Linked DNA regions of Diceros bicornis minor. The protein of the gene in region 4 purifies or fractionates together with the protein of the main gene of each other region. This does not show direct contact. Links are inferred from orthologs where the notes say so. Each region holds a gene or a part of one and is shown on either strand. Other genes may lie near its edges. The genes, in order: RMND5B, MKLN1, TCEAL9 and ARMC8.

Region 1 (7,558 bases), on a different chromosome or scaffold from region 4:
GTTTCACCAGACTCTCTTCCCATCCTCACCAGCACTGTCAGTCCTGGCCTCATCATCTCAGCCCAGCCTGTAGCCACTGTCTCCCTACCAGGCAGGGGACAAGTGACGGGGAAATGGCACTCAGGGGCTTGAGACATGTTTATGCCTTCCCTCTTTACAGGTGATGCTCACACTAGAATTTGTAATCATGGTGTCCAGAAGACATGTTCCCCTCTTCATGCCCCCTGAGCAAATACTCTATAACTGGATGTGAGCCATTATGGGCAAAATATACCAGAGACTCCTACCTGAAATACTGTAATTATTATTAATATTGCTGTTAGTAGTTAACATTTCTTAGAGGTTTATTCTGTGCTAGGCACTGTTCTAATGACTTTGCATACATTAACTAATTTACTTAGTTCTTACAAAAGCACTATGAGGTAGGTACAATTATTAGACCCACTTTACAGATGAGAAAATGAGATGCACAAAGATTAAATAAGTTGCCCATGGTCACTCAGCGGGGAGGTGGAGGGCCTGGGAACTGAAGCTGGGCAGTCTGGCTCCAGAGCCCTTCTGTGAAGCACCTCATATCCCCAGTCCTCTCTGGACCAGCTTCACAGGCCACTGTCTCACCAGGAAAGGAAAGCAGCCAAGAGTTGTGGTTGGAATGAGCGTACAGCAACGATTAATGATGACAAGAAACAGGAAATTAACCACAGAGCCTGTGAGATGATCAACTAGGAAAGATGACAGCACAAAAGAATGTTTGCCAAGAGTGTCTGGGAACCAGAATCACAACTGACCAAAAATAAACACAGCTCAAGAAAGGTCAGGACCTCACCAAGGTCAAACACTCTGCCCATGTCAGGCACCAAGTGATACCAGGGTTATCAAAGGGAAGCCCAAGTCAGCATCTTGAAACTGTATTAAAAGGCTGAGGGAGGAGATGGGTACAAGGATTTTTATCCCAGTTATATGTTGTAGCAGGGAATGGGAGCCAATCTAGGGCCTCATCACTGGGGGAATTGATAAGCCAAGGAAATAAGATGTGGGGGATGCATCTACGGAAACCGGGGTAGCATTTAGAAACCATGTTTCAGATAATCCCACAGCAACATCAATTAGATCCCAAAATGTGGTCCTGAGGGGGAAAAAGTAACAAAATGAACTCTAGGCAAAATACCACTTATGTAAATTAAAAATATATGCATACAACCAAGCATGCAAATAAAAGGATATACACCAAACACATCCGAGTGGTTTCCTATGGTGGGGGAAGAAGGGAGGAATGGGGATGAAAAGGAATACATAGATAAACACAAAGGAGAAAACGGCCCTGCATGGACCAATTAAATGTACAATGAACTGAGAAGTGTGATTAAATCTAAAAAATTTAAAAATAAAATCAATGACCTGGGAAAACAAAACTGTTTGTGAGTATTCCATCCAAAAAGCCCAGGAGGCTAATTCAGTCTGTCCAGGGTGAGCCACTCTGCCTGGATCACAGTCGGCCATCTTTACCAGACACCAGGATGGATGAGTGTGTGAGTTTGTCTTTCACAAACCGCATGATTAATCTAATGGAATTTCATGTCCATTGTCCTAAGCCCTCCTCCCCAAGGTCTCACATGTACAGAAATTATCCACCAGGGTGATCCCACCAAAATGACACATCAGATCCTATCTCCCTTTCTCAACCCTGCCATAGCTTGACAGACAAGTCCTTTGTAATTGTACATTCGCTTCCTTTGCACAAGTCTTTCCTATGTCCAGAGTGCCCTCCGCACTCCTCTGCATGGAGAACACAAGATGTGGTTTAATCATCAGCTCCCCATGAAGCCCTCAATGAAATCTCCCTGCCTTCTCCTCTGCTGCACAAACCTGTCGAGAACGCCCCTGCCACACACAGCTGAGTCCTCAGCTCTGGCACAGTAACTGCCTGCTCACACGTCTGTCTCCCCCACTGGACTGTGAGCTGCTCACGGCTGGAGTCCAGTCTCGTCCTCTCTCTCCCCTCAGTGCCAGCCCCGGGCCTGGTCCATAGCTGGTGCTCAGTGAACATTTGCTGATTAAACAGTGCAGACATTTCCTAACCCCTGGGCTAGGGAGCGGGAGCTCAAACCTGCGGGAGGTGGGCGGGAAGAGACATGAGTGAAATATTAAAATTCCCACCAAGGCATGCATGGAGGTTTTGTTCCCAGTCTTCAGCACCCTGAAACAAGAGAGTCCCTTCTGGGGCAAGGGGGAAGAAGGGAAGTTTGTGCAAATCATAGGGAGGTCCCCTTTGCCTAACACAGAATTGGAGAGTGACCCAACACTTATTCTTTTGCACCCCCCACCTCTATCCATTCTCCACCCTACACATCACTCCTCTGCTTAAAACTCAACAAATTCTCATTGTACTTAGAACGAAATAAACCCTCCTTTTTATGGCCTACAAGGCTCTATGTGAGTTGACTCCCAACCACCTCTCCAACCTCATCTTCTATCACTCTCCCCCTCACTCGCCATAACTCCAGCCACAGTAGCCTTCTTTCTGTTCCTTGACTACATCTACTTTATTTCTGCCTCAGGGCCTTTGCACTGACTGTTTTCTCTGCCTGGAACAGTCTTCGCCCAGATCTTCCCATGGCTGGCTCCTCATTACAGTCTCAGGGCAAACGTTATCTCTTCAAAGATGCTCTCCTAGACCACAGTATCTAATGCTGACCTCTGCCCCACCCCCACACTAGTCACTCTGTCCTGTCACCCTGTTCCTTTTCTTCATTGCACATCTCTATTTGAAGTTTCAAATCTTTCTTTTGTCATTAACCAAAACTGGTGGACTGCAGCACCTACTGGGAGTTTCAGCTACATTAACGTGCAAGTGACTGGCAAACTCCGACTCATCCTTCAAAAGACCCTGCTCGCTTGCCCCGCCTGGCCCCCTCATCCGCAGTGAGTTACCTCCGACCCGGCCAGGTGGCACTAGGGTGGGACGTCCGGGTCCGAGCGACTCCCCCGGCAGAGGCGGCTCCTCGACGGTCCTGTGAGTCTGTGGGACTCCCGCTCCAGGCCCGGGACCACGACTGCGGATAAAGCAAGCCCGAGGGCGGACTGGAGCGGGGGCGGAGTCGGGGGCTTCCGAGACGGCCCGGGGCCTGGGGCCCGGCCGAGCCACCGACCCCCGCGGCCGTCCGCCACCCGGCGCCCCGCCCTCGGCCCGCCCCGCCCGGCCGGGAAGCCGCCGTCTCTCACCTGCCCGGCAGCCCGGCCCTGGCTTCCGGCGCGCTGTCATCGGAACCGGAAGCGGCGGCTGTTGCTCAGCCGCCCGGGCCCGCCCACTCGCGGCTCGCCGGAGGGGAGCAGTCCCGCGCGCGTCCCCGCGGGCCCCCGCCACCCCCGCGCGCCAGCAGTCGAGTCGTCCGGGCCGCGCCGGGGCTCCGGGGCCCAAAGGCCCTTGCCGGGCCGCCACCTGCCCCGGCGGCGGGAAGGACTCGGTCGCCCCACGCGCTAGCCGGCGTGGTGCGCGGGGCAGGCGACTTCCCCACCCGGAAGAGGAGCCGGCGGGCCCACCGGGCGCGCCCCGTCCCGGCGCCGCGGCGCCGCGTTCCGCAGCCCTAAACCAGAAGAGACTGCCTCCCCCGCCCCCCGACCTCGTTGGAGTAAAGCCAATACCGAACAGCACAACGCACGGGAGGGGGCCCATGTCAGGCTTTCCTGCGATGGCTCCTTGATGCTGTTTTTGAAACATCAAATGATGCACCGTTGCTGATCCCCTAATCCTGTACTTAATCTACCCACTGGACATTCAATAGGGGAATTAGAGTCTGCTGGGGGGGACCCAGCTTCTGCCCTGCCGTCCTCCATTGGTCGCCCTCCTTGGGGGTCTGGGGAAAGATGGGGGTTGCACAACTGCCCTAAGGAGGAAGGGTGAGGGTTAAGAAGGAGGAGAGAGGAGGCGGTGACCCCAGACCCAGCTCAGAACTGAATTTATGATCCTCCCAGGCGCCCTTGCTCTGGAGGGGAGGAGCAGAGAAGCTCCCACCGCTCCACAGGCCTCAGGGACTTGGACTAGAAACAGCCTGGGAGAAAAGGCTCAGTCTGTTTCCTTGACTTCCTGCTTCCTTTTGGGGCAGCCCCATTCCAGGGCATCCTCCCCTCTAATCCTCCTCGCCTCCTCACCACCCCCACCCCACCCACAAACCCCCTTGACAATCTTGTTCTGTTCTCTGTATAGCACTTGCGCAATCCAGTTTTGTTTTCTTTATAGCATTTGACTTTAAATTATCTCGTGTTGATTTGTTTATTCTGTCTTCCTGCCCCTAACACCTCTCCCCCTTTAGGATAAAAATTCCATTGGAGCCGGGACTTCGTACTCCTCACTTCTATATCCCCAACACCATGTGCTTGGAGCATAGTAGGTGCTTAGAAATATTCTAAGGTAGCCAATATCCTCCACCTGACGAAATACGTAGGGAAGACGGGGGTCCACAGACCCACGGGGAGGGAGCCCGCAAGGCGTTGGAGCATCCTGGAGAGGCCGGTCTGTGCTTAGAGCCTGGGTGGTCCTGGCCCATGGGGGAGCTAGGGGCTGGAGGGTTGAGTGAACCTTGCCTGGGGCCATGAGGCCGAGGCTCAGGCCGCCTGGAAGCCAGCAGGACCTCACAGGCTTTCCCCAACGCCCCAGGCTTCCCCACTTCCTCTCTGGGAGCCCTGGCCTGCTTGTCTGGGAACTTTGAAGGCACGTCTGTATGTCGGGCACTGTCACCTCTGCCTGTCATGGTTTTCCCCAGCATGTGGCTCTCCTTGCATTGCGGTTTTGTTACTTTTTAGGATGCACCAAGTTTTTTTACGTAGCTGATTTTGTCAATCTTTCCTCGCTGGGATTGTGTGTTTGTGTTTTGTTTTTGTTGAGGGTAGGGCTGCTTCAAAGCAGAAAAACTGAGCTGTTCTCCTCTAACTCGATTACAGTCTGCTTAACTTTTTTGCTAGCTTCCTAGGATTTGACTTTTAAAATTTAACTCCTCAATACATGTCCATTTTGTTTTGCGGGGAGTGGTGCAAAGTATGACATTTTTTTCCCATATTTTTGTTCAGTTACCCCAGCACCTCTTATTAAATAATCCTTCCTTACCCTTTTGTTTTGAAGCCCTTTATCATAATATTAAGATTTTTCTACAGTATAGAATCTATTTCTGGCTCTTCATTCTTTCCATTGAGGTGTAGTGTTATTTTTACAGCAATATCATACTGTTTTACTTGCTAATTTGCGATATGTTCTAATATATGGTAGGATTAAACACTGCTCACAAAAAGGGAAAAAAAGAAAAACACAAAGTTATTGAGAAAGCAGATCACCGGTGCCTGGAGGTGGGGGAGAAGGCTGACTACAGAAGGGCACAGAGGAATTTGGGGGGATGATGGAACTCTTCTATATCTTGATTGTAGGGTTGGTTATACAATTCTGCATTTGTCAAAGCTCTAAAAACAGTACCCTAAAGAGGGTGAATTTTCCTGTATGTAAAATATACCTTAAAAATGGTGGTGGGGGAACAGGTACACAGAGGACACTATATAAATCTCTTTTAAAAAAAGGTTCTACGGGCCGGCCCCATGGCTTAGCGGTTGGGTGCACGTGCTCCGCTACTGGCCCCGGGTTCGATCCCGGGCACGCACCGACGCACCGCTTCTCGGGCCATGCTGAGGCCGCGTCCCACATACAGCAACTAGAAGGATGTGCAACTATGACATACAACTATCTACTAGGCTTTGGGGAAAAAAAAGGAGGAGGATTGGCAATAGATGTTAGCTCAGAGCCGGTCTTCCTCAGCAAAAAGAGGAGGATTAGCATGGATGTTAGCTCAGGGTTGATCTTCCTCACTAACTAACTAACTAACTAACTAACTAAATAAATAAATAAATAAATAGATAAAGGTTCTTGACAGAGAGGGCAAGCCCTGGAGTGCTCTCCTGAAAATACAGCCTCCTTCACCTCCCAGACCGAGTCCTGGAAGGCCAGGCCAGGAAAAAATGGACCCTCCTGACAGCTGGTGGGGTGGGGGCAGCGGTGGGTGATGCAGCCACTGCCTGTCCTCCTCTGGGGAACATAGGAGCATCAGGGCTCAGTCCATGGAGCCAGAGTTGCTGCTCAGGCCCTGTCTCTTCCTTCCAGCCTACAGGTGGCTCCCAACGTCTCCCGCTCCTTCTTCCTGTTCCTGTCCCTCCTTGAAAGCTTTGGTTCAGGCCAGGAGTGGCTACATAATTTGCAGGCCCCAGAGAAAAATGAAAATACGAGGCCCCTTGTTCAAACATTGTTAAGGAACTCAAGATGGGACAACAGAGTACTGTCACATAAAGTGTAGGCCCCTCTGAGCGGGGGGCCCTTTGGGACTACAGGTGACACACACATAAACTAGTCCTGGTTCTGGCCCTTCCTCTTGGCTGCCTGAGGGACCCACCCAGTCACAGGAGGTGAAGTCCTCTGTGCCAGCTCACTAGGCTGTCCAGGACCTGTCTTGCCTTCCCTCAGCCCTTCCAGCAAGAACCCTCCCCTGGACCTGCCCCACACTTCCCTGTGTCCAAGTCCAAGCCCATCCTGTGATGCCCTAATCCCATACTGCTCCAGAGGAAAGCCCCCCAACTTCCCCTCCTCAGAGAAGCTCACCCGTGGTAAAGACAAAAATTACTCATGACACTTGTTCAAGAGTGGTAAGAAGACTTTATTCAAGGGGGACTACTGCAACGGGGTTTTATAGTAGGGGAGAGTGGGCTCAATGCCACATATGACAAGGAAAAGTAGAATTTACAGCCAAGGAGCAGGGTGGGGTCAGTGGATGGAAAATTACTAAGGAAACCTCAGGGGGCAGGGGGGATCCTGGCTAAAGGAACCTCACAGGATTCTCGCTGAAGGCAGGCCAGGGTGATCAGATACTTTCTGGGGGATGACCGGGGCTGAAGAACCAGATTAGATAGAGGGTGATCAGATATGGAGGATGGAGGATTCTGGCTAAACTAACTAAGCAGGATTCTTGCTAGAACTGGACTGAACAAGGAAGGACACAGGAGCCCAAGGTCAGGTATAGTGAAAAAGAGAGCTCAGAAGGACCTGACCAAAGTTTGGTCAACCCTTGTCACCCCCCCCCATCACCTGGAATGGTGAGCCAGCTATCCTCTGAACTCCCATCGCACTCAAGGCTCACCTCTCGTGACACATTTCACTTTGTTTTTGTTGCGAGAAATGGCATTTTCTTTTTAATAATTTTATTTATTTTTTTCCCCCAAAGCCCCAGTAGGTAGTTGTATGTTATAGCTGCACATCCTTCTAGTTGCTGTATGTGGGACGCGGCCTCAGCATGGCCGGAGAAGTGGTGCGTCGGTGCGTGCCTGGGATTGAACCCGGGCCGCCAGTAGCGGAGCGCCCACACTTAACCGCTAAGCCACGGGGCAGGCCTGAAATGGCATTTTCTTTTCTGAATCCAGTATAGAAGCCTAAGTGCCCATAGGGCGGTGGGTTATGCAATCTGAATCGTCACTGTGGGGCCTGCACCCCATTTAGAGAAAGGCTCCCTAATACTTACAGCCCCCAGTCTCA
Region 2 (7,662 bases), on a different chromosome or scaffold from region 4:
ATAAAAGGCCACTTTGTTAGTTTCAAAGTAAAATATGTTATCTATAACTAGATCTGCTTTAACATTTTTAAAGTCCAAATAATTCTAAAAGGGTTAGAAGGAAAAAAATTCTAAGTCCTTAGGAAGAAAATAGAGAAGTGAATTTTTCTTTTTCTCCCACGACTTCACGTCTTCACAAAACTAAAATGTTAAGTGCCTTTAATAGAAGAACACTTTCAAATCTCTGAATTCCTGTCTCTACCTTCGTGCAGAAGCAGAACAGCACTACAGAAGACCATGGAACGTGGAGCCAGACTGCCTGGGTTCGAATCCCAGCTCCATCTAGCAGTGTGACCTTAGGCAAGTTTTAATTTCTCCATGCCTGCTTCCTCCACTGAAAAATGGAGATTCCTCAAACAACTGTTGTGAGGATTAAATGAGATAATACACTTAAAGTGATCATAAGAGTGCCTAGCATATGGAAGGCACATTATTATAAGTGTTTCCCATTGTTGTTACCCCTCAAAATGCCTAGCTCCTGACTTGTAATCAATAAATACTTGCTACTCTTTACTGACAATTCAATTCAGTAAATTTCAACAAATGGCTTTACTTAAAATCAGACCTGCTTAGGAAGTACCTTAACATAACTGTCACTGCCAGTAAAGATATAGCAACTGCTGTTAGAGAGGATTTTAGGGCAATAGTAAAGAAAGTCAATCCCTTTCTCACACTTCCTATCATAACAAAGGTATAAAATCCTCACTTGCTAATGGAAGTCCAGTACCAAAAGAGTTTTACGATTTTGGCATGGCACACACCAACCCAGCAGACACAAAACTCTCAAACTCAAGCTCCATAATACTCAACTATACTCCTTCAAAGAAAAAGTTCAGACTACTCTTCTATCATAATAGTTTAGTCCTTTAAAATAAAAACTATATGCATAAGTCAACAGAATATCATAAGGATTAAATAAGACACTGTGAATGAAAGTGTTTGAAATTTAAATATGCGTTAAATATTAGTTTATGAATATATTTGAGAAAATTCTAACAGATTTCTCCAATTTCAAACTGCTGCCTTCTAACCTCAAAACTAGTGCTCTGTCCACTTCAAATCGGGGGTCAGGATGAGACATAAATCAGAGTAAAGTTGCCATCCCACTAAATCATTTCCTGCTTGAAATGTACTATTTCTTTTTTACTCAAAACTCAGATGGAACTTGTGATATCCAACTCTTACACTAGAAGTTTAAGGAGTGAAATCCTGGAAACAGCCTAACTCAAGATGATGAAAATGTCTCCACAGTTATTAGATCAAACAATGCCACCCCAATTACGAACTGTCTGTGATCCTAACCTGGGTATAGAAAAATACTGAGTATCTTCAGATTCAAGAATCTGTTAGCCCTGAAAATCAGAAGGCAAGTACCTAGAGCCACATTTCAACTCCAACTGAAAGCTAGAATGTTTCTCTGGCTCACTCTCAAATTAAAAGTTGGATTCCAGCATCAATCAGGGACACAGCCACCCAGCAGCCATCAATATGCCACACAGGCCAGATTAGACCACAGGTCACTTGGCACCCTTCACTAAACCAGATCCTACTGAAGGCCTGATTGCCAACCCTTGACCTGGCTAATAGGACAATGGGCTGGCAGTAAAAAGAGTTAGATTCTTCTAGTCACAGCTCCATTTTGAGATTACTGACTGATTTGACTAGAGAAACCAAGTTTGAGAAAACGTGAAGAATTTTTGAAATATAGGTGGAAAACTTCTTTGAGTATGCTCAAATTGTGTGACTAGATCACAGATCTAGTCACTTTATTTTTTCAGTAACATAAAAATACATTATTTGTAACTTGTTTGGTTCATAAAATCATTCCTGAGCTTGTGAGATGATGGTCCGGGGGAAAACTAGCACTTGTCTTCAGCATCTGCACAGATCTTAAAACTTTACTAAGCCAGTTTCTCTATCTGTATGTAAAATTGGAGTTTGATCTGCTCCTTCTCTCAAAGATAAGCTAAAGATAAGTAAATACTGTATGAAAGTACTTTCAGCATCTCAGAAGGAATCTGCTACAGAAAACGTATGGTAGTAAGGCAGTGGAGCTTTTTCACCTAAATCGCGGATCCAGACTAAGCCAGTGTTGGAAGTCAAATTTATTCAAGTCAGACTTTTCTACCTATACTTGAGTTTCGAGGTTGGGAAATTGGCCTGTGTCTATATGAACCCATACTCTGAGCCATCATATAACGGAACTCTTCTGTAATGTCCCTCCTACCCACTACGTTTTCCAGAACTGCCAGCCGGAAAAGATATCCTGTGCAAATCCCACAACGACTCCCCACTTGCAAGGATTCAGGTGGATTCCACAACTTTCCAGCCTTCCGTGGCTTTTTAGCCCCCCCTCTGGAGCTATTCACTTTTAATGATCCTCCCCTCCTCGGGACAGTCACTCCTCAGCTTTACACTTTTCGTGTCCCGGCAGCAATCGACTGAACCGTCCCCCGTCTCCGGCCACCTCGGACGACCTTAGACATCTTCACCAGTTTGCCCGCCGTCGGGACCCCAAAAACTCCGATTCCTGCCCCATCTCCCTGAGCCGCCCGCCCCCCAAGCCCTCCTCCACTCCCAAGTCCCCGGCGCAGCATCACCCGGCTCCCCGTTCTCCTGCGCACTCAAGACCAGCCACACACCTCGCCCCTTCCGCCAGGACCTCGCTCTCCGGACCCTCACCCCTCCCTGAGGCGGGGGCGGGAAACGCTCTCCGCGGCCGGACTGAGACTCCGGAGGCCGCGCGTCCCCCTCACCAGGCCGCGCCTGGGCCTCTCGGCTCGGCTGCCCTCCACCGCCCCCCTGGCCCAGCCGTGCTTACGCCGAAGAGTAGGGCAGCACGAGCCCAGGGCCCAGCACTTACTCGGGAAGGTAGGTGGAGGAGAAGGAGCTCCACTTGTGTAGCGCGTAGGGGAGAAGCCGGCACTCAGGCGCCACAGCGACAGCCCCGCCAGCCGCCATCTTGTCAGCACCGTAGCGGCCGCCACCGACCGCCGGCCGCGCCGGGAGGAGGGGAGGGGCGGGGCCTGCTCTTAAAGGGGCAGCGGCCCGCCTGGGCCGTCCGCTCTCCCGGTCTCGCATCGCTACCCCCGCGTGGAGGGCTGAGGCGGGCGAGGGTCAGCGATTCTCGTCTAGGATCTCCGACGCTGAACCCTCCTTAATGACTGGCCGAAACTGGGACTGGAGTGTGAGCACCTGAGGAGCTCTCCTGTGGGGCTTGGAGGGGAGTGGCACAAAGGACTTTTCTCACAAGCTGAAGTAAGGAAAAAGCCAAGAATATTATGAAAAGAAATAAATTGTAGTTGTGGGCCGGGAAGGGAAAATGAGAAGACGAACTTGGAGAAAGGACGCCTTTGCGACTTTAGAAACCACTGCCCTCTCCAGTTTATAAATCCTTTAGGGAAGCAGCATTGAGGGGAATTGGAGTGGAATAGCCAATGTCCTTTCCCTCTGGAGTTGTCCTGGTTTTAAATGTCTTGTTCCCGTGTTTCAGAGTCACATGGAGACAGGAAAAGGAGGTGCTCGGCTGTCCTCTCACCCTGTTCTGTTTTCAGTCTGTGATGCCCTTCGCTATAAACATTGGTTGTGAGCTCTCTCATCCTAATCTTGTGGAAGTGGTTTGCTCAGTAGTGACATTCACTCGCAGACCACAAAAATCCTCACGGAGTTGGGAAGCTGTGTGTCATCATTTTTCCAGGTGGTAAAGCTGCCCACTTTTAGCTCTGTCAGAAATTTAGCCCAAAAGTTCAGAAAGAGTGAGAGACAGAGAGTTTCATGAAAAAGACCACAAAGAGAATAAAAGCCCTTGTGCTCTGAATGCCCTAGGGGCATCATACCAGCTTCTCATCAAAAAAGGAACACTTGCTCTCAATATCTGGCAGCTTTAGAAAACGCTCCCATCAAGTACCTGTTTGTCAGGGTTGGCATGTTTGTTCTTTGGCTTAGCCACTGCAATTACCAAAGTCCTCGTCACTCCCTGTCTAAGAGGTTCTACCCTTGAAAACCTGGACGCTATCTTCATCTCCACCTGAAGATGGAAAAACTCATGCAGAGTTTCTCAGTGTATGACCAACTAAGTCAAAACACCTGAATAATTGTATTCTTTTCCCATTATAATCATTAACCTGCCCAAACTTCCTCGGATCCTCTCCTGACTTCCTGTTTCCATAGGGGAAAACTTAGTAGTGGCCTCCACTAGACTATCAGATCAAGAATGCCTCATAGAAAAGCCACAATATGTTAACCTTTAAAATCACATGTGCTTTGTGTGTTACAGCATGTTGGAAAAGGATTTGTTCCTTGAGGGAATGCTATAGCCCCAGTGACTCGAGTTGGGAGACCAGAGACAGTAGGAGAGGCCAGAAAAGCTTAGTCCCAAAGATGACTAGTGGTTATTTTGGGGGAAAAGAGATACTTTTAAGGGGAGAAGATTAAGATGGTGACTCAGTTCAATTAGTTTTGGGCCCTGAAATTGCTAATTCTTACCCTAATGTGAGTAGAGTCCTTGTTCTTTTCCAGAAATAGAGTTATGGTTCCTGAGTGATCTTTTTAAAAAACACATATAAGCCGGTTTTTCCTAATGTGACTTTCAATGACTTTCTATTCCCTTTGGGTAACATCGAAAGTCCTTAGCGGAGGCCTTTTGTATCCTGCCTTGATTACCTCTCCAGCCTTCTCTCTCTTCTTTTTCTTTTGCACTCTTTACTCTAGCCACACTAAACTAACACACTGAATTGTCTCCTTTAAGTTCTGTGCTCTCTCTGGCCTCCAGGGCTTAGTCCAAACCAAGCCAGAAACTCTCCCCCATTCTTCGCCTGACTAACTCCTGCTCATTTTTCAGGTTATTTCGTTCTAGAAAATCACTCCTCATCACATATTTTGGGATTAGGTACTATTTTCTACATTTCTCTTGGCACCCTGAGTTTCCCTCCTTATCTTAGCAAAAATCACAATATGTTTTAATTTCCTCTTTATTTCTCATTCTCTCTCCCTAAACTATAACTCCTGTGAAGGTAGGAGTCATGCATATCTTGTTCACAGTCATATCCTCAGTCCTATTAGAGTGTCTATCACATAGTAGATGTTCGATAAATATTTACTGAAGAATAATGAACTGTGAATAAAAGAATAAAAGAGAACTTGGGTTGCAAAGAAAAAGAATGCCAGAGCTTCTCAGACTGCAAACATGTATCCCTGAGGTACAATTGCCACAAAGAATGTAAAGACCCAGGACAGCATGGCTTTCATACAGCACACATTTTACAAGTGGCAAAGTAATTTAAAGCATTCATTTGTTAATATAAATACAGATAGATATATTATGATACTGAACCCAAAATTTGGGTAAATGTTAAGATAAAATAGAAGACTAAAGAAATTTTAAAATCCACAAGAGTCTGCTAGTTGCTCAGATCTCCTAGGGGTATACCTTTACCTCCTCTGCCTTTGGGGCATTGCCTTAGGTGGTGGGGTTTGTTGTAAGGATACATGGGGAAGGCCTGGAAACCATCACATCCATTTAGCCCCTCTAGTTCCCCCACACTTCTAAGATTGGGACATATTGATGGCTTCATGGAGAACTGGACAATGAATCATCATTTTTCAGGGATCAACAGCTCTAGTGACCCAGTCACCTTGTCATCCCCTAAAAGCAATCATCTTTTACTCTCTGATGACTTCTCAGTAGGCTTCTCATAGTAAATACTTCCCAGAGAGATAACTAATTGTATTTGGGTTGTCACCATTCACTATCTTTTCCTGCAAAAAAAGATTTATTAAGAGGCTCTGATATGCCAGGCCCTGTCCTAGATACCTAGGAGACAGGGATAAACAGAGAAGCCAGAGAAGGGCTGTGCTTTCGTGGAGCTTACATTCTGGTAGGGCAACATATAATAAATATAATAAATAAGTCAACTAGATAATTTTTGCCTGTGCGTTTTAGGTCCTAAGAAAAGACTACACCAGAGTAAAATTTAGATTGAATGGTAAAGGAAAGCTTCTCTAAGAAGGTAATATTTGAGCTAATACCTATACAATGAGAAAGTGCCAGCCATGCAAAGGCTAGATAAAAAAACATTCTAGGTAGAGAGAATAAGCAAGTGCAATGGGCCCAAGCCAGGAAAGGGGTTTGTGTGTTCATAGAATAGAAAGTGTGGCTGGAGCTTAGTGACGGAGGAGGAGAGGGGAGACAGAACCAGTAGGGCCCTAACAGTCATGGTAAGGAGTCATGACATGGAAATGTGAAGGGGAAATCTGCAGGGATTCAAGCCAAGGAGTAGCATGATCCACTTTACATTTTGTAGAGATGGCTCTGCAAAACTGAAAATGGGTTGGAAAGAGGCAAGAGCTGAAGTGAGGACTGGAAGTTATTATAATAGCCAGGCAAGAAATGATGGTGGCTTGGACTAGCAGAGGAGATGGAGAGAAGTGATTGAATGGGGACATATTTTGGAAGTAAAGCCAAGTAGACTTGCTGATGAGGGAGGGAAGGCAGGAGGAAAAGGAAAGAATCAAGAATAACTCCTGGGTTTTGGGTTTGCACCACTGGGTAGATAGCCATGCTTTTATTGAGAGGGGAGGATTTGGGATTGGTACAGTTTCTAGGTAGAAGGAATCAAGTATTCTGACTTCAATGTACTATATAAGGGATGCCTAATAGATATCCAAGTGGAATTGCCAAGTATCCGACATGGGGACCTGTATTGGTCAGAGTCTTATATCAAGCCACTTCATAGGCATTTGGCCTTCTTCATATCTAATGAATCAGTGGTTCCTTTTTTTGGCTTAGGCACTGATTCCTGGGTCAATTAATTTTTCTCTGAGTAGCAGAGTCACCATAGCTCCAGGTATAGCAGCTCTAGATAGAAGAAACCATCTGTGGAAGCCTTCTGCAGAAGGGCATAGAGGGGTACAAGAATAGTCTAGGGAGGGGCTGGTCCAGTGGCTTAGTGGTTAAGTTCACGCTCTCTGCTTCGCTGGCCCAGGGTTCGCAGGTTCAGATCCCAGGTACAGACCTACGCACCACTCAACAAGCCATGCTGTGGCAGGCGTCCCACATGTAAAGTAGAGGAAGATGGGCACGGATGTTAGCCCAGGGCCAATCTGTCTCAGCAAAAAAGAGGAGAATTGGCAACAGGTGGTAGCTCAGGGCTAATCTTCCTCACCAAAAAAAAAAAAGAATAGTCTAGGGAAAGAAACTTAGAGTATACGTTCAAAATCTTAGTTTCAGTCTCAGTTCTGCTACTTTTCTAGCTATGAGACCTTAGGAAAGTCACTTAACTTCTCTGAGTTTCATTTTCCACCACTATAAAGTGAATTTAATAAAATCTATCCTATTTACGTCACAAGAGGATTTTAAAGATCAAATGAAAAAAGAGTATTGCCTAGCTTGTCTGCTATGATATAACGTTAAGTTCTCATTTAATTCTTACAGAAACTCTGAGAGATAAATATTATTATTCCCCTTTTCACAAATGAGAAAAATAAGACTCAGAAAAGTTAAATAATTGTTTGTTATCTTTGGTTTGCCCCTCCAGATGTGTGGGAGAGAAGAGAGTGAGGTTGGGGTATTCCTTCCCCTGACTCCCTGTCTGTAAGGTCACTCTAAGTCAACCAAAGGTCACA
Region 3 (6,047 bases), on a different chromosome or scaffold from region 4:
GTGAGAACTACTTTCTCCGCCCTCCCAAATAGCTGAAACAAATCCCTCAGGAGTTGGGATCCTGCATGGGCAGATAGGGAAAAAAACCTGTCAAATATAAGCTCATAGTCATTACCTTATTTGGTCCTCACAAGATCCCTTAAGAGATCATTATTATCTCTATTTTGCAGATGAGAAAAGATTTAAAACCTATTCTTCTAGCTAAGTGGTCTGGTGGTTATTTGGAGTTGACATTTGCTTCTAAAGTTCTGTCAACAAATATTAAGTGCCCCAGTGCCTTTAGAAATAAACTGATAAGTGCTGTTGGTTACTTATTTTTTTATTATAAACTTTTTATTATTTTAACAATAATGTGTGTACATTCTAGGAATAAGGAAAAATACAAATAAGCAGAATAAAAAAATCACTCATAATCCTACCCGACTGTACTTTTTGTCTTTCATCCTTCATGCATTTTCTGTGCATATATGTATTATACAAATGTACTATTCTTTCAAAAATATGATATCCACATATTACTTAGTAACCTTTTTTTATTTTATATCTTGTCAGGAAACTCTTTTTGTACAAATGAGTAAAGCTCTCCTATTAAAAGGCAGAGATTTGTAGATTGGTTCAAAATATGATACACAATGAGATGCAGATAACAAGAGATGCATCTAAAACCACTAATAGCAACAAATTAAAAGTAGAAAGATGGACAAGGGTATATCAAGAAAATTCAAATCAAAAGAAAGCTATATGGCAATGTTAATATCAGAAAAAATAAAAATCAAGGTAAACTACATTAAATAGGGGTAAGGATGGTTTCGATTAACCTTCCAACGCATCACTATAAGTTTGTTTCTTACTCTCCTTATCTCATCTATTTCATTTACTTCTCTAAACATATCTTCCTTGCTTAAATGCCTGTTGTGTATATCTTCTTTAAATTCCTGGAGAGATTGAATCAGCCTTTCTCTAAAAGTTCCTTCTGTTTTTTCCTCCTCCTCTGGCTCTTCCTCCTCCTCTGGCTTTTCCTCAGGCTTTGGCTCTTCCTCAAGCTTTGGTTCACTCTCATTTTCTGGTCTTCCTTCAATTTTTTGACAGGGTTTCATCTTGTGTCTCTCTTCCTTCCTTCCTTTCTATTTACTCCTCTTTAAATACAATTACTTCTAGGAAGCAAGAAGGAGACAGTAAGTCAAAAGCTTGGTGAATGGACCAGTGCTCTGGACAGTCTCAGTATTTGCTTTCTTTGATTCAGAGCTCTCATCAAATATCTTCCACCTGGGAGACTCAGTCAGCAATCAGGGCTGAGCCCGGGGCTCTTACCTCCACTTTCCACCTGCTCACCTCTCGCTTGTCCCTTCCTCCAGCCGTTTTCAAGGCCCTACTCAACAATTTCTCCCGCACAGGGCATAACGCAAGACCCTCTTAGAGCAGAGTATGCTTGGAGAAGGTGAGAGAGAGGAAAAGTGGGGCCCACAACATCTGTCCCGCCCTCGCCCACCTCCACCCCAGGGATCTTTATAATATTCCCCTCACCTACCTGTACTGATCCAGTCACTTTCTTCCTCACCTTTTTTACCCTTGTGTAAGTGCTATGAACAACAGACCTGCGGACAAATGGGAAACGGGAGGGGGAAGGGGTGGGGAAGGGGAAGGGGATGGGGGTGGGGCGAGTGCTTGGTAGGTAGACCAGCACCACGTACCTTTTTCCTCATTAAGATTCTAGGTTATGGAAACTTTCTCACCTTCTGTTTCCCCCAGTTCTCCCCTTCTCCCCAGTGCAAGTCAGCTCGAATTGCCCATCACACAGGGAGTAGGAAAAGCAGATTATTTCCAAACTATCTCTAAGACTGTGGCGGGGGCTAGGGGGCAGGGTAGGCGTTGGGAAAGCTGTCTGAGGCAGCAGAGGATGATAATTTTTAAACTAGCACTGGTCTTTTTGTCTTTCTCCCGGGACCCCTAGTTCCTTTCCCAAGCGTCATTATTTCCTGCAGACCTGGAGGTGGGAGGTGGAGAGATGGACTTGACCAGGACACCCTCAAGTCTCTGCCCTACGTCACCCCCACTCTAGAAATCCCTAGGCAGCACCTATTTTGACACCAACCTGCAAAAGTCCAGCAAGTTGATTCCTTCTCCTTCCCCTGGCCTCAGGCCCCACCGTCCGCGCTGCTGAAGGAAGCTGGTACCCAGACGGGAACAAGGACCAGACTAGCAGGACTTCTGCACACGTCGACTCCTGGTCACGTGAGACCTACGTCACCAGTGAGCTCGGGTCCCCACTTTCCACTCCCATCAAAAGCGCGGCAGAAATGGGCCCTCCTTCTGCTCCCTCCCCCCGTATACATTTGGTCCTGTCAGTCTTTTTTGTTGTTGCCTATTCCAGAGGGAAAAATGTTATTTGCCTTTCTCTGATTACTAGGGAGGGGCTGCATCTTTTTCTGGAGCTACTAAACTTTTCTACTTCTTTCAAGAATTCTCTTCCTGCCTTCTTTTCCCAGGATTAAGAACTCCTACATCCATCGCCCCTCCCCCAGCCTCCATTTCATCTGCAATCTGGTCCTTGGCTGTTGTGGAGCAGGGTTGGTTTGGCAGCGGATTGTGAAAAAAAAAAAAAAAACAGCCTGGGACAGGAGTGAGATTTTTGAATGTAGTTTTTACTTTATTCTTAGTACATTTATATATATATTTTAAAGTAACTTATATGAGTTAACACATCTACAATCCTGAGAATAGTGCCTGGCAAGTGCACTATTGTGTACAAGCTATTATTATAATTATACTAGGATTTCATTTGGGGAAAAGGATTCAAAATGAAAAAAAAAAAAAAGTAATGCTTGACTCCAGAGCCCTGGTGACATTATTTGCCAGGAAGCTGTGCTGCCTGCAGAGTCATCGTCAGGTACACATTGTGAGCCTGAGGTTCCTCATCTGAAAGAAGGGAATAATAACATACACCTCATAGAACTGACTCTTGGGAATTCTAAATGATAACACTTGGCTCAAAGTACTTGGCTAGTATAAACCCTTCAACAGATATTGGTTACCCTTCAACCTCACCTCAGTCTTTGGTAAAAGTCACAAATTTGCCAATAACAATTGCATAGCTCTCAGAGATAGCATTTGAAAAATAACAGGAGAAGTCATAAACGTCTACTTTAGTTTTGTATAAGTTTCGGTGCCCCCTTATGAGGCAGAATAAAGAGCTCAGTGGATTATGGGGAAAGAAAAAACCCTCACCCTATGTCATTTTATTTCACCTGTTCTTCTGTCACATTATTCTATCTTCTGGGAAGCGTGTGTATTTGAGCACCAGAAAGCCCAAGATATAGTGGTTTTGGGTTGGCTGAGCAGAACACTGGTGTGAGAGACAGGAGATTAGTTCCAGTGCCAGACCTAGAACTGACTGTGTGACCCTTAGTAAGCTACTCTCCCTGTACTGTCCTTACCTCTAAAACAGGAGATCACAAGCAAGCTCTCAGAATTTTAGAAAGAAGCATGTGATTAGTGAAACATTTGAATTTATTGCCCTTAGGAAGATTGAAACATCCTGAATGGCAGCTGCTTTTTTCCAGCGTGGTGGAAATGGTTCCAGAAATCCTCAAAATGTCCTGAAAAGGGAAAGGTGCTTTAATGCCATTATTTCATTTTATACTCCCAAAAACTGCGAGGAAGATATTTTCATTTTCTATATAAAGAAACTAAACAGAGTTTAAGCAATATGCCCAAAGGCATTATCTCCTGCAGCAAAGTTAGGCTCCTCCTGGGTCCCCTGGAGATAAGCAGGCCAGAGGTGCAAGGCCTAGCAGGCTGCATCCCTCTAACAACATGTAACTGAGCCAATTATTTATGAAGATGAAAACTCCCAGAAGTGGAAAAGATAGATCATTTGTCTAAAACAGGACAAAAATAAGACACTTATTAGGGTCTACAGGGATTAATGTACTGAATACACAAAATGTTGATTTGCTTTAGAAAAACTTGTTTCAAATTTTCAAACTAATTAGCCTGCTTTTTTTTAAAGCTATTTGGGAAGTACCATCAGAAACATTCTCTAATTGATAAATATAAACATGACCAAGTTATGGAGGATTTCCTATTTAATAGAAAATCTCATTTTTTATTGTAAATTACTTTTCTTCCTAAAGAGTATATCTTAAAGGTTGTGAGCAATTAACATGTTTTAAAAATTTTCTCTTTCCTTTGTAGCAGCTGGAAAATATTTTCTATGATGTGATATGTTAATTCAGCCAAATAGCAAGGTACCTCAATGAAAAGAGAAATCTTGGGATAAATACTCATTCTCTTCCTCCCCCCAAAATGTAAGTATTGTATTTCTGTAATGTGAAAACAAAGCATTTTAAATTTAAAAATTGGAACAGAAAAGTACATAGAAGAAAGTTAATGTTCCACTTTGCACTCCCAGCCTCCTTTCCTGACACTTAGCTTCCTGGCCATTTAGGTGCAGGTAAGGGCCTCAGGGGAAAAATAATGACTACAGGGAGATGAGGAGGGGAGAAGGAACAGGTTGAGGGGCAGTTAGAACAGGGGAAAGGGCTAATTCCACAAGAATTCTAAGTGGACAATAACTCCAACAGAAAATGCTGCCTCTCCCTGATAATTAGAGAAAGCCAAATACTACATCTGGTCTCCTGAAATGCCAAGGTGGAAAAATAGACATTCCAGATCCGGGGTGACGGGGGAGGAGGAGGGGTTGAGGGTTTCCGCTGCCCTGCTTGAGTGGGAGGGAGGATTGAGAGCCTGAACTCTTCTGTGATGTGGCCTTCACATGAAGAGAGTCTACCTGGGCCCAAGTCCCTTTCTTCCTGTCTTTTGTATGCTCTGAGTAATGATTCCTGTTGCAGAGGAAGAAAAACTTCTGGTCAAGGAATAAGGGAAAAACAACTGTCCCGGAAAGCCGTAGGTTTGTGTTCTGACTGGAGCAGCCTGGGGTAACCCTGGCATCAGGATGGTTGTCGGCTGAGGGCAGAACCCTCAAGTGGCTCCGAGTCTGCGTTCTTGATACCTTTTCCTTATCCAGAGTCCATTTTGGATGGTCCTGGGGCGGCAAGCGGTATATGAATATGGGTAGATGAGTATATGCTGGAAAGCTTTCCACTCATACAACCCCCGCTCCCCGTGCCCCACGCCCATTTTGGTGCAAAACATTTTGGTAGTAGAGATGTGGAAACGAATCACAAGAGAAGGAAACAGACATGGAGGGTAAAAGTTCTATCTAAATAGTTTCCCCTCTTCCACCATTGTGGGTATCTAAAAAACCAGGAGTACCAGAGGCTTAGGATGGCTTCGGAGAAAGAGGGAGGATAAGGAGGGACCAAGTTGGGCGCTAGGAGACGCAGGGCGGGTCTGGGACTGAGCCGGGCGGCGGCGGGTCCGCACTGAGTTCTCGGCTGCAGCAGCTCCCGCTTCCCCCACCCCAGCCGTCTGTAGGTCTGAGGGTCAGCGGGTTCAAGGCCACAGACTTCGCTGAGATAATGGGAAGTAGGAGGAGACAGCAAGGACAGGCGGAGGTCGATGCGCCGGACAGTGGTGGGGCGTGGAAACGAGGCTCCCCTTGGGATTCTCCCTTTTGGGGCCTGCATAGGCCTGGGGAAGGATCCATAGGGAAAATGGTGAGCTTTAGAAGAGGGAGGAGAGAGGAGCAAGCGCGAGGGAGGAGCTCCGGCTGGAGGCCCCCTAGAGGGCGCAGGAGTCCTCTCAGGTTGGAAAAATAGAATTTAAAAAAGACGTTGATATATGAAATCTTGAAAGGTGCATAGTAGGGCCTCTGTCCTCGGTGCTGATCTTTCCACCAAGTATTCAGTCCTTTTGCTTGCTTTTGTCTCCTAGGAGTAATGGAGTCCAAAGTGGAATAAACGGAGGAAAAAATCTCAACATGGAAAATATCCTCCAGGAAAAAAGGAAAAAGAAGGAGGGGAACAGGTCCCTGTGTAGAATGGAGAGGAAGCTCGCCCTGTGGCAGAGAATGAAGCAAGGAGCCTGAAGGCAATATTAGAGGGGGTTGGGCTCCACTTTCCCAGGATTTTAGAGGAGGTGTGCTC
Region 4 (6,902 bases):
GAAAAATTAATGTGGAGAATGGACTTGAACTGAGAGGGTAAGACACCAGATGCAGTAAAAACAATTGCAAGGACACTCTAGTACTGCAGGCACAAAATGATAAGGTCCTGAATGAGAGGGTGGCTATGGGAACAGACAGATGTGAGAAACGTTAAGAATGAAGAGCCAACAGAACTTCAAGACTGATTAGATATAGGGTCATGAAAGGGGCAAGAGTCAAAGATGATTCAAGAGGTTTAACAGTGAGTGATCAGTGAAAGTCAGTACCTTTAACAAATGGGAAGTCATGAGTAAGTCCTTCCTTTAACAGAAGGAATGTGCTTTGTTGGAAGTGATGGGTAACATTCACACAATTGAAGATGTGAGATTAGATGGAGAAAACCCAAGGCTGGCAAGGTACATGTGTGAGTTGATCATAGTTAAGGTTATAAGAGTGAATGAGATCTCTGAGGGGGGAGAAGGTATAAAGAGCCTCGAAGGGAAATCCTTTAAAACCATTTGATTTGTCCCTTGCTTGAATTATGTTTATCAAGCTGTGATAAACATTCAGACTGTGAGCTCCCTGAGGACATATCTGATCTTATACTTGCATTCTCTAAAGTATACATTACAAGGTGTTGTACACAACTGGTGCAAACTAAGTAACCTATTAAAGGAATCGATTACTTTCAAAATAATTTCTGATTAATATTTCCTGTTCCACCTGCACTTTGTATTTCAAAAAGTGGTGCTGTGGGTAGTACTTTGACAGGTACAGGTTTCACTTTAAATTAGTATAATCAATGAATTTAAACAGTTTGAATCATTTATCCAAAGCTCTGATTTCCCAAGGCTCTAGGACTGAAGAACTGACAGAGCAGACGTGGGCACTGTGAAAATTTAAAAAAAAAAAAAAGGGCTGGCCCGGTGGCTTAGCGGTTAAGTGTGCACGCTCCGCTGCTGGCGGCTCGGGTTCGGATCCCGGGCACGCGCCGACGGACCGCTTCTCCGGCCATGCTGAGGCCACGTCCCATATACAGCAACTAGAAGGATGTGCAACTATGACACACAACTATCTACTGGGGCTTTGGGGGAAAAAATAAACAAATAAAATTATAAAAAAAAAAAAAAAGCCCCCAAGGAGACTAAAGCTAAAACAAATCCCCACTAAAAGTACGAAATACTTTAGTTTTTGAATAAAACTAAACAGGAAATACTATTTACTGAGGGAGTATAACAAATGAAAATTTTAATTGTATGCACTAGTTGACTGTACAGAAAGTAAAGAAGCTTCAGGTGAAATGAAGGATAAACGAGATAATTAAAGGGAGCCAAGAACAGTCGAGGCATAGTTTAAAAAAAAATAAACATAATGAGGGAAAAGTCATTGGCCTGCTCTCCCACAAAACTTGCCTGGGTATTACAGTCAGCTGTGGGGTAATGGGCTAATCTGATTCAACACTTAGGTAAACAGTATTTCCCCATTTGCAGTTTAGAATAAGAAAAAGAACTGCTAAAATGGATCAGGGGACAAGTTTGTTGACAGCCTCCCAAAATTAAATTATCAAAGTTGCAGTATGCCACAACGCTCTAACCCTGAATCATAAGAAAACGTCCTACATGCTTCCAGATAGTTGTGTTCGTGGAAGAAGTCAGGGAAGAGAAAAGAAACCAAGGGGAGTCACATTCTAGGAACCTGACAAGCTATCTATAATCCAACTGCCCTCTCAATATCAGACTGACTTCCACAGCAAGTCTAAAAGATGGTCAACCAGTCTTTGCCTGCTTGTTTCCAACAACAGCAAATAGATCATTGGTAAACTGACCATTCTCGGAGTTGGACAGCTCTAATTTGTCGCAAAACCCTTGGAAGTTATCTCCCAGTAACTTTCACCCCGGTCCTGGTTCTCTAAAGAGCAACATAGTGAAAGGTGGAAGTCGTTTTTATTTTCTTTCATTTAAAAACAAAAAACAAACAATAACAAAAAAAACCTAGATATTACTTTCCGGCATGTCAATACGTTCCCTTCTTTCAATAATAGGAAAATCTGATCTTTTTTCCCAACGTTTGACGCTCCTTTAAAGGAAAAAAGAATGCCAGGCACAAGTTCCTTTAGACTCAGAGCTGCGACCTCCAGAGCAGACAGGAGAAAAGGGGCTTAAATAACTACATACACCCGGAGACGTTGCAGCTGATATGAAATCCCCGTTGCCAAGAAGCAAGCAGCTCCTGCCAAGTCCAGCCCGTACCCGGGTGCTGGGACGCGACAGAAGCCGCACAGACCTGGCCTGGCAGCGGCGAGGCTGTGCGGGCTAAGGAACCCGCACCTCTTCTTGCCAAAGCCGCGGGGGGCCAAGTGGGCGCTCCCTCCCGGGCCAGCGGCCAGCCCGGCGCCTCACAGGGCACAGCGCTCGGCCCCGAAAAAGAGGCAGCGCTAAGACGAAGGCTCAGTGAAGCGCCTGGCAGGGCTCAAGCCGCGCCGCCGGGCCAGCTGCCCGGACGCCCAACCACCCCGCCCGCCGGATGCCGTCCTGAGAACCGGCACCAGTGGGAGCTCCCGGAGTTGGAGACGTCTCTGGCTCGGCCGGGATCCCGTGTGTCCCGCCCGCCCACCTTCTCTCCCTCCCCGGCCCAAAGCTGAGCCGGAAGCCACCCCAAGGGGTGGTGCCCAGGAGGTCCGCCGCGTTTGGGTGACTGCTGCGGGCCGGGCCGGAGCTCCCGGGCGGGCAGGCGGCTGCGGCGGGTCACTCACCGAGAGGACGCTCATGCGGATTGGGGTCTCCAACAGGCACGCCATCTTGAGCCTTCCCACCGGCTGCAGCCGGCGCCGGCGCGGGGGCCGGCACTTTCGACAGCGAACTGTTGGGCCAACGACAGACACCTCTGCAGAAAGTCAGGCGGCTAGACGAGAAGAGACCACCTCTAGACACCGGTGAAGTACGGCCAGGGCCCGCAGAAGGGAGCAAAGGGAAACCGCACCATGGGCCGCCTTACGAAACGTCCTCTCAGAAACAGCAGCTACTCTCAGCCCGGGTTAGAGGTGGGAGCGGGCAGAGTTTCCGCATGCGCAAAGAAGATCTGCCGGCCCCACCTGCCGCTCGCGGTGGGCGGAGCCTCGGGGGCGGAGTCTGGCTCCGCCGCTACGAGTTCCACAGATTGATTCATTGCAATTTATGTTAGCGTATTCATGTTCCGAAAAACTAGTATGTGGAGTAACATACATAATTTGAAGTTCACTTTCACATTCAGTACCTCACTCCTTCTTTGCATCGAAATCCTAGCGTCGTTATTATCTCCATTTTAGAGATGGAGAAACTAGGATCTCAGAACCAGATCTACTGCCGCCAATAAGAGGGTTTCACGATCCAACGCTGAAGTGTGACCTGCTTCAGCATTATCTGCCCGACTCATTTATTGTGGTGTAGTGTTAAGAAGAGACACTCAAGAGCCAGAACGCTTGGGTTTAATCCTTGCTACGTCACTTATCAGCTGCATTACCTCCAGCAAGTTCTTGAACCTCCTTACGCTTCAGTTTTCTCTTCTGTAAAATAAGGGTTATGAGGATGGAGAACGTAAAGCTCTTAGAACATGCCTGGAACGTAGAAGGCGTTATATATGTGGTAGCATTTCTACAGCCTCTGAGTCAAGCAGAAAAAAATGGGGGCAAATATCTGAATAATCCACACTAAAACGCCCTGATAAATGAAGTCATATAAAATATGCTTCTAATTGTATTTTCTGATTGATTAATTCAGTTATCCCACTCCATTTTTGTGTGTGTATGTGGACAAAACTGCCCTGGACGTGGCTGGACAGGGTTCACTTTCGTGCTGCTCTCAACCAGGAAGGTTTTTCACAGGATTGTCGCAATGAGCCTATTACATTACATGTCTTCCTTCCGTTTCTATGCCACTCCCTAATTCAGGCTATTACCTCTCCCCTGGACTAGAGCAATAGCCTTCCAACTCTAGCGTCTCTTCACTTTGCTCCTCACTGCTCTCTTATCTTCCCTCTGTACTTGGTTTCTAAATTTATTGTAGCACTAATCATCCTTGCTTATGGGTCTGTGTTCCTGAAAAAACCGTTGAGTTGCTGGAAAGCAGGAATTTCATTTTAGATTTTCCTGCTGCTACAACACTATTTCCCAAACTTCAGTAATCAGCATGCCACCAACACAATCTTTGCCAATCTGCACCTAGATATTGTTATTTAGTCAATATTTTTCTTTAAAGTCAATTTCAACTCATTAAGTAATATTAGCCTCATCCTAAAACCATAACGCTCTGTAAAATTAAGTTTATTGTGCTCCTTTTCATTCTAGTGCACATTAACATAATAACTACAAAAACGTTTAAATGTCCATCCGTGTATCACCTAAGAGCATGTCATGTACTGCATACCACAACAGAGCAGAGTATAGCCCTTACACAGAGCATACAGAGGTATCAATTGAATTTTCAGTTGACATTTGTATGATATAGTTATTATAGCTGTATTTGGTCCACACTTCATCCATTAGCTCAAGCAATACATCCTCCAGGAAGCCCCTCCCCCAAGTATAGGTTAGGTGCCCCCTCCCCCATATCTTCATGCATCAATCTGTTCTTGCCACTAACATAGCATCTCCAACAATATATTGTAAATTTTTGCAATTGTTTAGTTGTTTGTATCGCCATTATACACTTCAGGGCAGGCACTAGGAATTTTATCTTCTAGGTCTTTTATCTCATTGCCTAGCATAGAATAGTCATTTAGTAAATGTTTGTTGAACAAATTTTTGGCTTAGTTTGGGCACCCCAAAGGCACATCCTGGGACAATGATTTGGGTGCAGGTAGTTTATTTGGAAAGTGTCTCCAAGGAACAGAATTGATGGGCCAGGGAGAATGAGAAAAGAGAGAAGAAAAAGTCAATATAAGGGTCCATCATTGAAGTCACTGCTTATTCTTTGAGGACCTCTGAGAAACAAGCAGAATGCCCCACTGGATACCCATCTTGAGGTTGGAGCATTTATCCACCATTCCCATCTACCACTCCCATCCTGTACTGATTGAGGGTTTCCCGGGCACTGTTAACTCCCTACCCTCCTGGATTGTACTTGTGCACAGAACAGAGAGGGCTGGCTTAACCTGATGTAGAAAAGCAGAATCTGTAGGCTCACTTTTGGGCTGGGATACAGGAATACAGGCAGCAGGAATCGGAGCTTGCAGCAGAACCATCATTACAGCTATGGCTGAAATTAGAATGGGGAGGGGCTCTGGAACATGACTCAAGGCATCCAACACCTCTGCTACTCAGGCTTTCCTGTTTTATTTCCAGAAGATTGACATGGCCATTTTACAGGAAGGAAGCATTGATCAGCAAACCCCTAAGCTTGAGGATCAAGGATCTCATTTCTAGTTCAAATTTTGCTGCTAAATAACCTTAGGCACACTCCCAAACCTAAGTAATGAGTAGAAATTGAGGGGTAATAAGAAATTTTGATTCAGCCTCCATGTAACAGCAACAACAAAACAGTTAACTTTGGTACTGTGGTCGGGAGAGGGAACTATCCACTGACTCCCTGAAAACAGGAAAGAAATCTCTCCTCATCCTCCATCAACTCTTATCTCAGAGCAATATTAATTTCTAAAAAAATAATGACAACAAAGTGTGAGTTTAATAAAAGAAAAAGTAGAAATGCATAACAAGAAGGAAGTAGCCAGAGAGAAATTTGAAAAGTATTTATAAATATCTAAGTGGAACTGCCAAGATAGAGAAACAAAGCCATATTTTTGAAAGTTGAAACATACCTATGTAAAAAGAGGAAAGCTTAGGGGCCGGCCCGGTGGCGCAAGCGGTTAGGTGCGTGCGCTCTGCTGCGGCGGCCCGGGGTTCGCTGGTTCGGATCCCGGGCGCGCACCGACGCACTGCTTGGTAAGCCATGCTGTGGCGGCGTCCCATATAAAGTGGAGGAAGATGGGCACGGATGTTAGCCCAGGGCCGTCTTCCTCAGCAAAAAAAGAGGAGGATTGGCGGATGTTAGCTCAGGGCTGATCTCCTCACAAAAAAAAAAAAAAAAAAAAAAAAAAAGAGGAAAGCTTAAAGTATATAAAGATGTAAAACAAGAAATGAATGGCCCCAAAAGGAATTTAGAAGAAACTTTAAAAAGATTTGAAAACAAATAAGATTCTTTAATAAATAAAACAGAAAGAGAAAATGGATTAATAGTGGTGCAGAAGAGAGAGAGTTCAGTTTAACAGACACTAAGTGTGGATTTACTTGGGCACACATTGTACTGGGGATTCAAAGTAGAATAAAGATGTGGCTCCTGCCTTCAAGTAGACAGGAATAAAAGTGAGACTCTGAGAGGTTCAGTAATTTGCTTAAGTTTGCTCAGGGAGTAAGTGGCTAAAACAATTTGGGCACAGGCTTCTCTGTTTCAAAGTCCTTCCCAGAGCTCTCACAGTCCTCTGGGACCTGACAAACTCTCCCACACGGGACTCTTGAGCACTCACCTAAGCAATCAGCCAATTAAGGAGAGTCTACAAGGGCTTTGCAATGGGAAGTAATGCATCATTAATTCATCAGGTGTTTGGAGGGTGTAAAATAGGTATATGCATAAAGCAGAAGTAGTAAGATGTTGAAAAAGTCTTTTATTAGAAATTACAGTAAAAAAAAGAAAATGTTCTTTTTATAACTCAATTACTGTTATGGTAGAATCCCAACTTACAAATGTAGAAGAAATGATGGAATTTGAAAACCAACAATTGACAACCATGTGAATTATAATAGTTTGAGGCAAGAATCATCAATGGATGTTAAAACTAGTTGGTGACGATATGATGAGAAAGAGGATATTTATGCAGTCTTAAAGTATCTCCCCACAAGTTACTAATGATAGTAGAAACCTAGTAGACATCGCTTTATTCAAGTGATTATAAT

The links.
Region 1: the proteins of ARMC8 (region 4) and RMND5B purify together in Homo sapiens (affinity purification with mass spectrometry; 4 studies listed by BioGRID and IntAct, with this or other methods). This does not show direct contact. The link is inferred for Diceros bicornis minor from reciprocal best matches to the Homo sapiens genes ARMC8 and RMND5B.
Region 2: the proteins of ARMC8 (region 4) and MKLN1 purify together in Homo sapiens (affinity purification with mass spectrometry; 4 studies listed by BioGRID and IntAct, with this or other methods). This does not show direct contact. The link is inferred for Diceros bicornis minor from reciprocal best matches to the Homo sapiens genes ARMC8 and MKLN1.
Region 3: the proteins of ARMC8 (region 4) and TCEAL9 purify together in Homo sapiens (affinity purification with mass spectrometry; 3 studies listed by BioGRID and IntAct, with this or other methods). This does not show direct contact. The link is inferred for Diceros bicornis minor from reciprocal best matches to the Homo sapiens genes ARMC8 and TCEAL9.

What each region holds. Positions count from the first base shown.
Region 1 is NC_080740.1:90,962,680-90,970,237, reverse strand, and holds the start of RMND5B (E3 ubiquitin-protein transferase RMND5B), read right to left. Parts: upstream 3,014-7,558; 5' UTR 2,932-3,013; intron 1-2,931. UniProt on the Homo sapiens protein: Core component of the CTLH E3 ubiquitin-protein ligase complex that selectively accepts ubiquitin from UBE2H and mediates ubiquitination and subsequent proteasomal degradation of the transcription factor HBP1.
Region 2 is NC_080742.1:79,614,395-79,622,056, reverse strand, and holds the start of MKLN1 (muskelin), read right to left. Parts: upstream 3,025-7,662; 5' UTR 3,001-3,024; coding exon 2,903-3,000; intron 1-2,902. UniProt on the Homo sapiens protein: Component of the CTLH E3 ubiquitin-protein ligase complex that selectively accepts ubiquitin from UBE2H and mediates ubiquitination and subsequent proteasomal degradation of the transcription factor HBP1.
Region 3 is NC_080781.1:96,198,143-96,204,189, reverse strand, and holds TCEAL9 (transcription elongation factor A protein-like 9), read right to left. Parts: upstream 2,210-6,047; 5' UTR 2,093-2,209; intron 1,596-2,092; exon of another isoform or gene 1,529-1,595; intron 1,155-1,528; exon of another isoform or gene 1,152-1,154; 5' UTR 1,098-1,151; coding exon 783-1,097; 3' UTR 516-782; downstream 1-515. UniProt on the Homo sapiens protein: May be involved in transcriptional regulation.
Region 4 is NC_080741.1:15,010,643-15,017,544, forward strand, and holds the start of ARMC8 (armadillo repeat-containing protein 8), read right to left. Parts: upstream 3,016-6,902; 5' UTR 2,778-3,015; coding exon 2,733-2,777; intron 1-2,732. UniProt on the Homo sapiens protein: Component of the CTLH E3 ubiquitin-protein ligase complex that selectively accepts ubiquitin from UBE2H and mediates ubiquitination and subsequent proteasomal degradation of the transcription factor HBP1.